Arabidopsis thaliana: one gene and its partner. The protein of the gene in region 2 interacts with the protein of the main gene of each other region in a pairwise test. Each region holds a gene or a part of one and is shown on either strand. Other genes may lie near its edges.

Evidence for each region. Proteins that work in one complex are often made in the same cells at the same time.
Region 1: the proteins of ATARCA (region 2) and CAB1 interact in a two-hybrid assay, tested with the Arabidopsis thaliana proteins (2 studies listed by BioGRID, with this or other methods).

Annotation. Positions count from the first base shown.
Region 1 is NC_003070.9:10,476,142-10,480,129, forward strand, and holds CAB1 (chlorophyll A/B binding protein 1), read left to right. Parts: upstream 1-1,743; 5' UTR 1,744-1,929; coding exon 1,930-2,733; 3' UTR 2,734-2,973; downstream 2,974-3,988. Other genes in the region: NRPA2 (nuclear RNA polymerase A2), read right to left, coding at 3,181-3,603, 3,714-3,968. UniProt on the Arabidopsis thaliana protein: The light-harvesting complex (LHC) functions as a light receptor, it captures and delivers excitation energy to photosystems with which it is closely associated.
Region 2 is NC_003070.9:6,219,858-6,224,742, reverse strand, and holds ATARCA (Transducin/WD40 repeat-like superfamily protein), read right to left. Parts: upstream 2,543-4,885; 5' UTR 2,419-2,542; coding exon 1,537-2,418; intron 944-1,536; coding exon 842-943; 3' UTR 501-841; downstream 1-500. Other genes in the region: AT1G18090 (5'-3' exonuclease family protein), read right to left, coding at 127-204. UniProt on the Arabidopsis thaliana protein: Major component of the RACK1 regulatory proteins that play a role in multiple signal transduction pathways. Involved in multiple hormone responses and developmental processes.

The sequences.
Region 1 (3,988 bases), 4.3 Mb from region 2:
TATGAGCCACTGAATACTTCAACGGTTACACTTACTTACACCCTCGTGACAAGAATGATTTTTGCTACAACCCAATAACTAAAACTTAAAGTATAACATTTTGAAAATATAGATTCTGATGATCGAAACATTAATATAAAGTAACATTATAAAAAGCATTTACCCACACATAAATATCAATATTTTCAATGGTAATTAGTTCATCATCACTACCAGTTTAATTTCAATTATGAATCGATTTCATCGTCACTTTATCCAATAACCAAAATAATCTCATGAATTATGTGATATCACCTTAAAACTTTGACGTTTTACTCTTTATCGAAGAAACACAACGATTAATGAAACACTGTTTTAACTTATCGACCATTTCTAAGAACATGAAAGAACTATATTAATTCATATGGCATGTTCATCATCATGGGTTTAGACTTTAGAGAACATATAGCTACTTTTTTTCTTATCATGATTCAAGTTATCTTTATTGTAAACTTCAACAACCTTTTGAACAAACTTATTTATTCGCTTTTTCCGAATTCATCAACAAATTACTCCTCAATCACACTCCTATAGAAAACGGTTTAAGCTATCATTACATGTCTAGTTGGTTTTACTCAGCCCTAGAAGTGTTGTTTATTGCATCACTTTCCACGAAGCACAATTTTTCTTTTTTACAATCACTAGACCTCACAGGCTCACACATATGCTTTAGAGCACATTCTAAACTTTGAACTATAAAAGCTGTTAACACTAATACACTATGCGTTCTTTTTTGCTCCAAACACTTTTGATCCATTATTAGGAGACACTCCACTTAGAAAGATTTTCTAATCCTTTGGTCAACTAGGAAGTTCAAGGTTTTTCTAAACAGAAATTCATTTCACAAGTAATTTAATTTATAAGGAAATGAATAGAGAAATCAAATCATTGAAGAACTACAAAATATAGATTCAAGGTCAGGTCTAAGAAAATATTCCTGAAGCTCAAAAAAGAGTTTTCCTCTCACATTATAGAATTGGCCTTTACTTCAACATTTTCCCACCTATTCCACATTTGGTCAGAACATTTTTAATTACTTGTGGATCAATTTCCGGTTGAAATGGGTTTGGTGAATATCCGGTTCAGTTATATGGTGGCCGTTGGAATTGGCTTATTAGTTGTGGCCGTTGTTGAAGCCGTTGGTATTGGTAAGGGAGAAGCAGACTTGTGGCTATGAGTCTATGACCATGACTCGTGATTATGGAGCTGTCTTATGACCCTGACCATCACCTTGATCTGGTGGATTCCAATGTTTTCTTCTTCTTCTAATAAAATATTATGGTCAATACAGGTGCTAATTAAGATGGTAATAATTTCTTATGTTTCTGTGGTAAAGTTTGATTCAATTCCGTAGTTTTAGATAATCTTATTTCCATACATAAATTTTATAGTTTTATCTACTTTGTTCTTATGTTTTATCTCTAGCCAAGAGTTATTATTATTATCAGAAGAAGAAAAAAAAAAGAAGCATATATACAAAAGGTTTAATAAAATGTATTATACAAGGCAATTATCCAAATTTTTTTTGTTTTGGTTTACATTGATGCTCTCAGGATTTCATAAGGATAGAGAGATCTATTCGTATACGTGTCACGTCATGAGTGGGTGTTTCGCCAATCCATGAAACGCACCTAGATATCTAAAACACATATCAATTGCGAATCTGCGAAGTGCGAGCCATTAACCACGTAAGCAAACAAACAATCTAAACCCCAAAAAAAATCTATGACTAGCCAATAGCAACCTCAGAGATTGATATTTCAAGATAAGACAGTATTTAGATTTCTGTATTATATATAGCGAAAATCGCATCAATACCAAACCACCCATTTCTTGGCTTACAACAACAAATCTTAAACGTTTTACTTTGTGCTGCACTACTCAACCTCAATGGCCGCCTCAACAATGGCTCTCTCCTCCCCTGCCTTCGCCGGTAAGGCCGTCAAGCTTTCCCCCGCGGCATCTGAAGTCCTTGGAAGCGGCCGTGTGACAATGAGGAAGACTGTTGCCAAGCCAAAGGGCCCATCAGGCAGCCCATGGTACGGATCTGACCGTGTCAAGTACTTGGGTCCATTCTCTGGCGAATCACCGAGCTACCTTACCGGAGAGTTCCCCGGAGACTACGGATGGGACACCGCCGGACTTTCAGCTGACCCCGAGACATTCGCAAGGAACCGTGAACTAGAAGTTATCCACAGCAGGTGGGCCATGCTCGGAGCCCTAGGCTGCGTCTTCCCTGAGCTTTTGGCTAGAAACGGAGTCAAGTTCGGAGAGGCGGTTTGGTTCAAGGCCGGTTCACAGATCTTCAGCGATGGAGGGCTCGATTACTTGGGAAACCCTAGCTTGGTTCACGCTCAGAGCATTTTGGCCATTTGGGCCACACAAGTTATTTTGATGGGAGCCGTTGAAGGCTACAGAGTCGCAGGAAATGGGCCATTGGGAGAGGCCGAGGACTTGCTTTACCCCGGTGGCAGCTTCGACCCATTGGGTTTGGCTACCGACCCAGAGGCATTCGCTGAGTTGAAGGTGAAGGAGCTCAAGAACGGAAGATTGGCTATGTTCTCTATGTTTGGATTCTTCGTTCAAGCCATCGTCACTGGTAAGGGACCGATAGAGAACCTTGCTGACCATTTGGCCGATCCAGTTAACAACAACGCATGGGCCTTCGCCACCAACTTTGTTCCCGGAAAGTGAGCCAAGTTTTATCTGTATTTTGCTTCAGTCTTTGCTTCGTGAGTGTGAGAGGAGAAAGAGAGCTTGTTTAGATGTAAAATTTGCAAGACTTTGTATTTTTTTCATTAATCAAATAACTCGTTTTTCTCTCAAATTATCTGGCAATTACCAAATTGGATTCGTTTTATGTCCTTCGGATCACTCAATTGCAGAGTTTATTACCACAATTGAACAACTTATACATGTCAAAGTTAAGTTAATGGTATTGGAGAATCAAAAATTCATTGATTTTATCCGTACAAATCAAACACATTTGTTTAAAAATTCACTTTGACCAAAAATAGATGACGTTTTCCACTAGAAAATATACTAACAAAGCAAAACCAAAAACTGATGAATAATATATTCTTCTACACACTAGTACATTGTAAAGATCTGGTTATTTTTTTCTTCCTCTGGTGTAAAATCTTAATCAGTTACTCCTTCTCTATCGCTTAACTGAAGAGTCATCTTAATATTCATTGAAGCCAACTCTGCAGCCAAGTACCTGAACACATAGGGCATTGCAACTGTTTCCATGCCTTTACTTGTCTTGCAAGAATAGCAAGTTACCTTCTTTGGAGTTCTACCAGGAGGTAACTTTCCAATTTCTTGAATAAGCTTCTTCTGTTGAACGTTCACAACAGATGATGTGAGCAAGCTTCCACATAGCGAACACACATCTGCAATGTGGTGATCTGAAGATGTATGAAGCCTGTCGTGTAATAGATAGGAGGCTCCATGAGCAAGTAGTGAGTCTCGCTCCATTTCACCAAACCGAATCCCACCACCTCGTTTTCTTCCCTTTATTGGCTGATGAGTTAGCTGATCCACTTGTCCCGTAGATCTAACCTGTAAGCCAGAGTATTATGATTCAGATATAGCACGAAGATGAGACAAGTGCCAGTTGGAGACTATATGTCAGGATGATAAAAGAAATGAAGCCAGAAGGGTCGAAAAACCTGGAATTTGTCTGAGACCATGTGACGCAGTCTCTGGTAGTAAACAGGCCCCATAAATATCTCACACTTCAGTTCTACTCCTAAATACCCACTATACAATGTCTCGGTACCATAATGGTTGAACCCTTTTTCCTTTAACATGGAGCCAAGATCATCAACAAGCAAACTGGACTTGCTCTCCTCTTCTCCGTTTGTTTTTTTTACTGCATCACGAAACGGTGTTGCATCTACAAACTTTCCATGCAAACTACCTCCCTGTAAAAGCCGAGGATATA
Region 2 (4,885 bases):
ACAAAAATGTGTAAGCCCATCATTTAAAAACTTGATTTTTAATGGAGATTTACCCAGAACGATTAACGGAAACTAAAATCGAGAAGGAAATGGAGAACATTAAGAAAACAAGTCGGAGAAAATTACTCGTTTCCCGGCGTATTTCTGGATGTGAATGGGAAGGATATAAGGTTTCATGAATCTGAGAAGGTCCTTGATGCCCATTTCCGATTTCTTATCTTCTTCTTTTTAGGGTTCTTGCGAATTTGTCTTCTTTATTTTTCTTTTTATAGCCTTTTTTGTTTTGTTTTTCCAGTCTAGAGTAAAAAAGCATAAGTAAAAAAAAAAACTTAGCGCGAAAAGGCAATGGCGGGAGTGATTAAAATACGACAGATGCCACATCAGCAGTAATAGCGGCTGTTCGACTTTACCAGTCTATGTGGCGAAATTTCGTTGGTCGAAGGAAGCAGCAGTAATAGCGGCAGTTCATGTCCATTTCCAAAGATAGTATGTTCATGTCTATAACCTTCTTAGTTCGTTGCAAATCAGTAGTTTATTACATGTTAAAAATCATTTGGTTCATCTGTCATATTGGATAAAGTTACAAATTTTAGAGAATTCCGCTATTCCACCATTTCGCTATATTATTAATGGGAATCATTTGCCACAAAATGGGAGAAGTAACTCTAAAAACCAAGATCTCGAACGATAAGATAAAGAAGCAAAAACCTAGATTGACAAGAAAACAAACATCCTTCCAAAAACCTCAAGGTACTTCATGAGTTGTCGATAAAAACATAAGTGATAGATAAAACCAACAAGCAGATAGCAGAGAGCAACGACAGCACAAGTGATGAGATTACTAGTAACGACCAATACCCCAAACTCTAATGACTCCATCGGTGTAACCACTGAAGAGGGTGCTTCCATCAGCGCTCCAGTTAAGGCTTGTGCAGTAAATAACCTGACCCAATCAACAAACAAATTGAATTCAGTCACTTTCCATGGTTATTTACATGTACTATTACACAACAAACAAAGGGCTATGTATCAGGAGAAAAATATTACTACTACTATGATCCTAACAAGAAATGTCAGGTAATCAATGAGTATGGACACACAAAACCATTAAAAGACAACCTTAATTGACAATTTAGGCTCAAACTGGGGCGAAAACACAATTATGGTAATTGCTATATATGGAAGATTAAAACAGATAAAGAAGATAGAGAGCCTAAGTCTCCAAACGGAATGGTAATTCAAGCAAACATAATTGCAGAATCTGAAACTGAAACCAAGTGTAGAAGACCATTTACATATATCATCGTGTAGCATTTGAATAGAATAATCCATGTAAGAAACTTTTTACGAACTTTCACATTTTCAATAACAGACCAACATTACGAATTATGATATACTCAGCTATGGGTAATACTTAATCACAAGTCATAATCAACATCATAACCAACTACAGAAAATTCTTCCTATACAAAAGCTGAAAACTTGTAATCGATTAAAAGCATATGATTGAACCATCATGGGAAAATATTTGTGTACCTTCCTCTTGGTGGCAGCAGGACCACTGTTGTCAGCCTTTTCAGCCTCAGCCTTGAGATCAACCTTCAAATCCTCAACAATGCTCTTGCTCTCAAGGTCCCAAATCTTAATACCATGTTCAGTTGCAGCACAGAGCCAGTACCTGTTGGGACTGAAGCAAAGAGCATGGATCACAGAGTTAGCTTCAAGAGAGTAAAGCTTCTTCCCCTCAGCCAAATCCCACAGCAAAACAACACCGTCTTTGCCTCCACTTGCACAAAGAGAACCATCAGGTGATACAGCCACAGTGCTCACGTAACCGGTGTGACCAGCAAGAGTCGATCTGAGCTTGCAGTTCGAAAGGTTCCACACTTTCACGGTCTTGTCCCACGAAGCAGATACAATCGTCGGCTGAAGCGTGTTAGGGCTGAATCTGACGCAGCTAACCCAATCACGGTGTCCCTCACCACCTTCTGAAATGGTGTACTTGCACTCACCAAGAGTGTTCCACAGCTTGATCGTACGGTCACGAGATGCAGAGACGATCTGACGGTTGTCGAGTGAGAAGGCGACGGAGAGCACGTCCTTGGTGTGTCCAACGAATCTACGAGTGGAGACACCAGCAGCAAGATCCCAAAGACGGAGCTCGCCGTCCCAGCTGCCGGAAAGCGCGAATTGTCCATCGGAGGAGAGAACAACATCCTCAACGAAGTGAGAGTGACCAGTGAGACGCCTCTGAGCTACACCGTAGGCTTTGTCGTCCTTGGTGAGTTTCCACAAAATGATGGATTTGTCGCGGGAAGCTGAGACGATGATGTCTGCGTTATCGATTGGGGTGGCGATTGCCGTCACCATGTCAGTGTGTGCACGCATGGTGCCCTTCAAAACGAGTCCTTCCGCCATTTTCGGTGTCTGGAGATGCCTCTGAAACTAGGGTTTTCGTTTTCTCGGGGGAGGCGGAAATACAAAGAAGAAGGGCGTGAAAAACACAAGAAGCTATTTATATGATAGAAACTAAAAATGGATTAGGGTTCATTTAATATGGGCTCATATTATATATTTATTACTGGGTCTTATGTTAATGGGCTTATCTCAGCCCATATTTGGTGGAAGCGTTCGTAATTTGTTTCCATGTGTAAGAAAGCGTGTTCTCCAATTGGTATGTTCTAAAAGCCAAAAACGCATCCCACTACAGACCTTATTATATGGGCTATGAGTTGTTTAGTTCGGATTTGGAGAGACTGTTTTTGAGAATGATTTCTCGTGTTTTGGTGGATGCTATAAGGAATCCTGTTTTATGGCCAAGACTTGAATCTACGTTCGTGACATAATGGGCACGCTAATTCGAACAAAAGCGTCCCTATTTTTATCGTCATTCAGCGTTTTCATTTTCTGAGTTTGCTTTGATTCGAACAAACAATATATACGTGGAATGAATCATGAATGGCGCACAAATATACAACTTTACATTTATCTTACGTACATGTATATACTCATTTATCGTGGTCATTATTTTTGTATAGGTCAAATTTCTAACAACTCTTTTGTGAAAAAAGCAAAATTTCTTATATGTGGTACAGAGATTGACTAATTCGAGATTACATCAAATATAGTTATCAATCTGGATTGGTTAGATGTAATGTAGTACGTACATCTGCCGAAATAGTATAACATCGTATTGAAATAGCAGAAAATCTTATATAATTGCTGTTTTGGATGTAAATATTATGGATTATAGGAAAGCAATAAAACTTGCTAAAGGGAGAGAAATCTACAAAAAAAACCAGTTTGACTTATATATATACCGTTGTTTTACACTTTAAAAACATTTCCAGCTGTATTCAAAAATATAGTTTTGCAATCTGGATGCATCAAATAAGCCAATCCGAATTTAATAAGTTTGTTCAACAATGATAATTTTCTTCGGCTAAACTTATTTAAAAAGTTCAAACTAGATCTGTTGAGTATTAAATTTATTCGAACAGTGTGAGAGAGATATAGAGGAATACTGTAAATTAATTGATTCACTTAAATAAAAGCGGATCATATCTTTATACAATGGTGGATATGAATTGAAAAGTATTAACACGGTATATACTTGTAGACACTTAAACGACTTTATTGAGTCGAAAAAGTAATTTAGAGAAGTATAAACTCTAAATGTCTTCAAACATTAGAATTAACAATGATACATAACTGAAAAGTACGAAACTAATGGAAATACAAAGTACAAACCATAAAAATTGCATATATGTCACAAGAAAATAAAATAAAAAATCCTACTCAAGATCCATCATCCATGTTTATACACCTGCAACAGACAACACAAAAAATGAAAAGTCATTCTTAAAAGAACTAAAGATAGAGAGAGAGAGAGATAGGGATGGAGAGATGAAGAGCTCCCTTCAATCCAAAGAAGAGTGAAGCCATTAAAGGGGTAAGTGAAAGCTCCTGAGATATGGCATCCATAAAAAAAACCTTATCATCAATTATATTGAATTTGATAAGGCTTATGGGATCCATAGCTTAGCAGCTTTACTTCACCCTGCTAAACCCTCCATTGAACTTCAAGGAGCTCTTCCTCTTCTTCTTCCTTTGTTTTTCTATATAATCGTGTGGATCTGCTTTGACTAACTCATATATTCATACAATCAAAAAACTCTTGACCTTCTTTTAATTGGCAGTTACATGCATCTAACCTAAACCTATGCTTTAAAATATGAACAGCATTAGAGATCCAAGCAAGAAAAAGAGAGACATAATGTTGAATACTTGAGTTAATACAAAACCATTGAAAACTTATATATGGTTCGAAACAGGAGACAATTTGACTCAGAAAGAACCAATGGAAGGATAAAACTTGAAATGAAAAAGCTACTAGTATTAACCATAATATATATAGTGAAAAATCAAAATTATCAGATCTATTATGAAAGATAAAACATAGAAAAGAAGAATCCTGAAAAGAAAAAAAGGGAGGAGGAGAACAAAAGTGAAAAACCATTGAAACTTGAATGGCTTTTTAAAGACAAAAATCTGTAGCCCTAATGAGAAAGAAAGAGGGAGTCAAAGATGGTATTCATTTCGAGGACTTTTCTTAAACCCATTAATAGTTAGGATTATTGATTCATTTCACAGATTTTTTTACTTTTGTGATTTAATAGCTATTGATTCATTTCACAGATTTTTTGTTGTGATATTTAATGAAAAGCTATTAAATCACATATTTACAGCAATTGTCACTTCATATATATGATTTCATAAACCACTTATTTACTAGCAATTGTCACTTTCATTACTACTCAAGAACTTACTTTTTTCTAGTTATTTTTCTAATTCACTCTTTTTAGTCTGTTAATTTAATTAATTT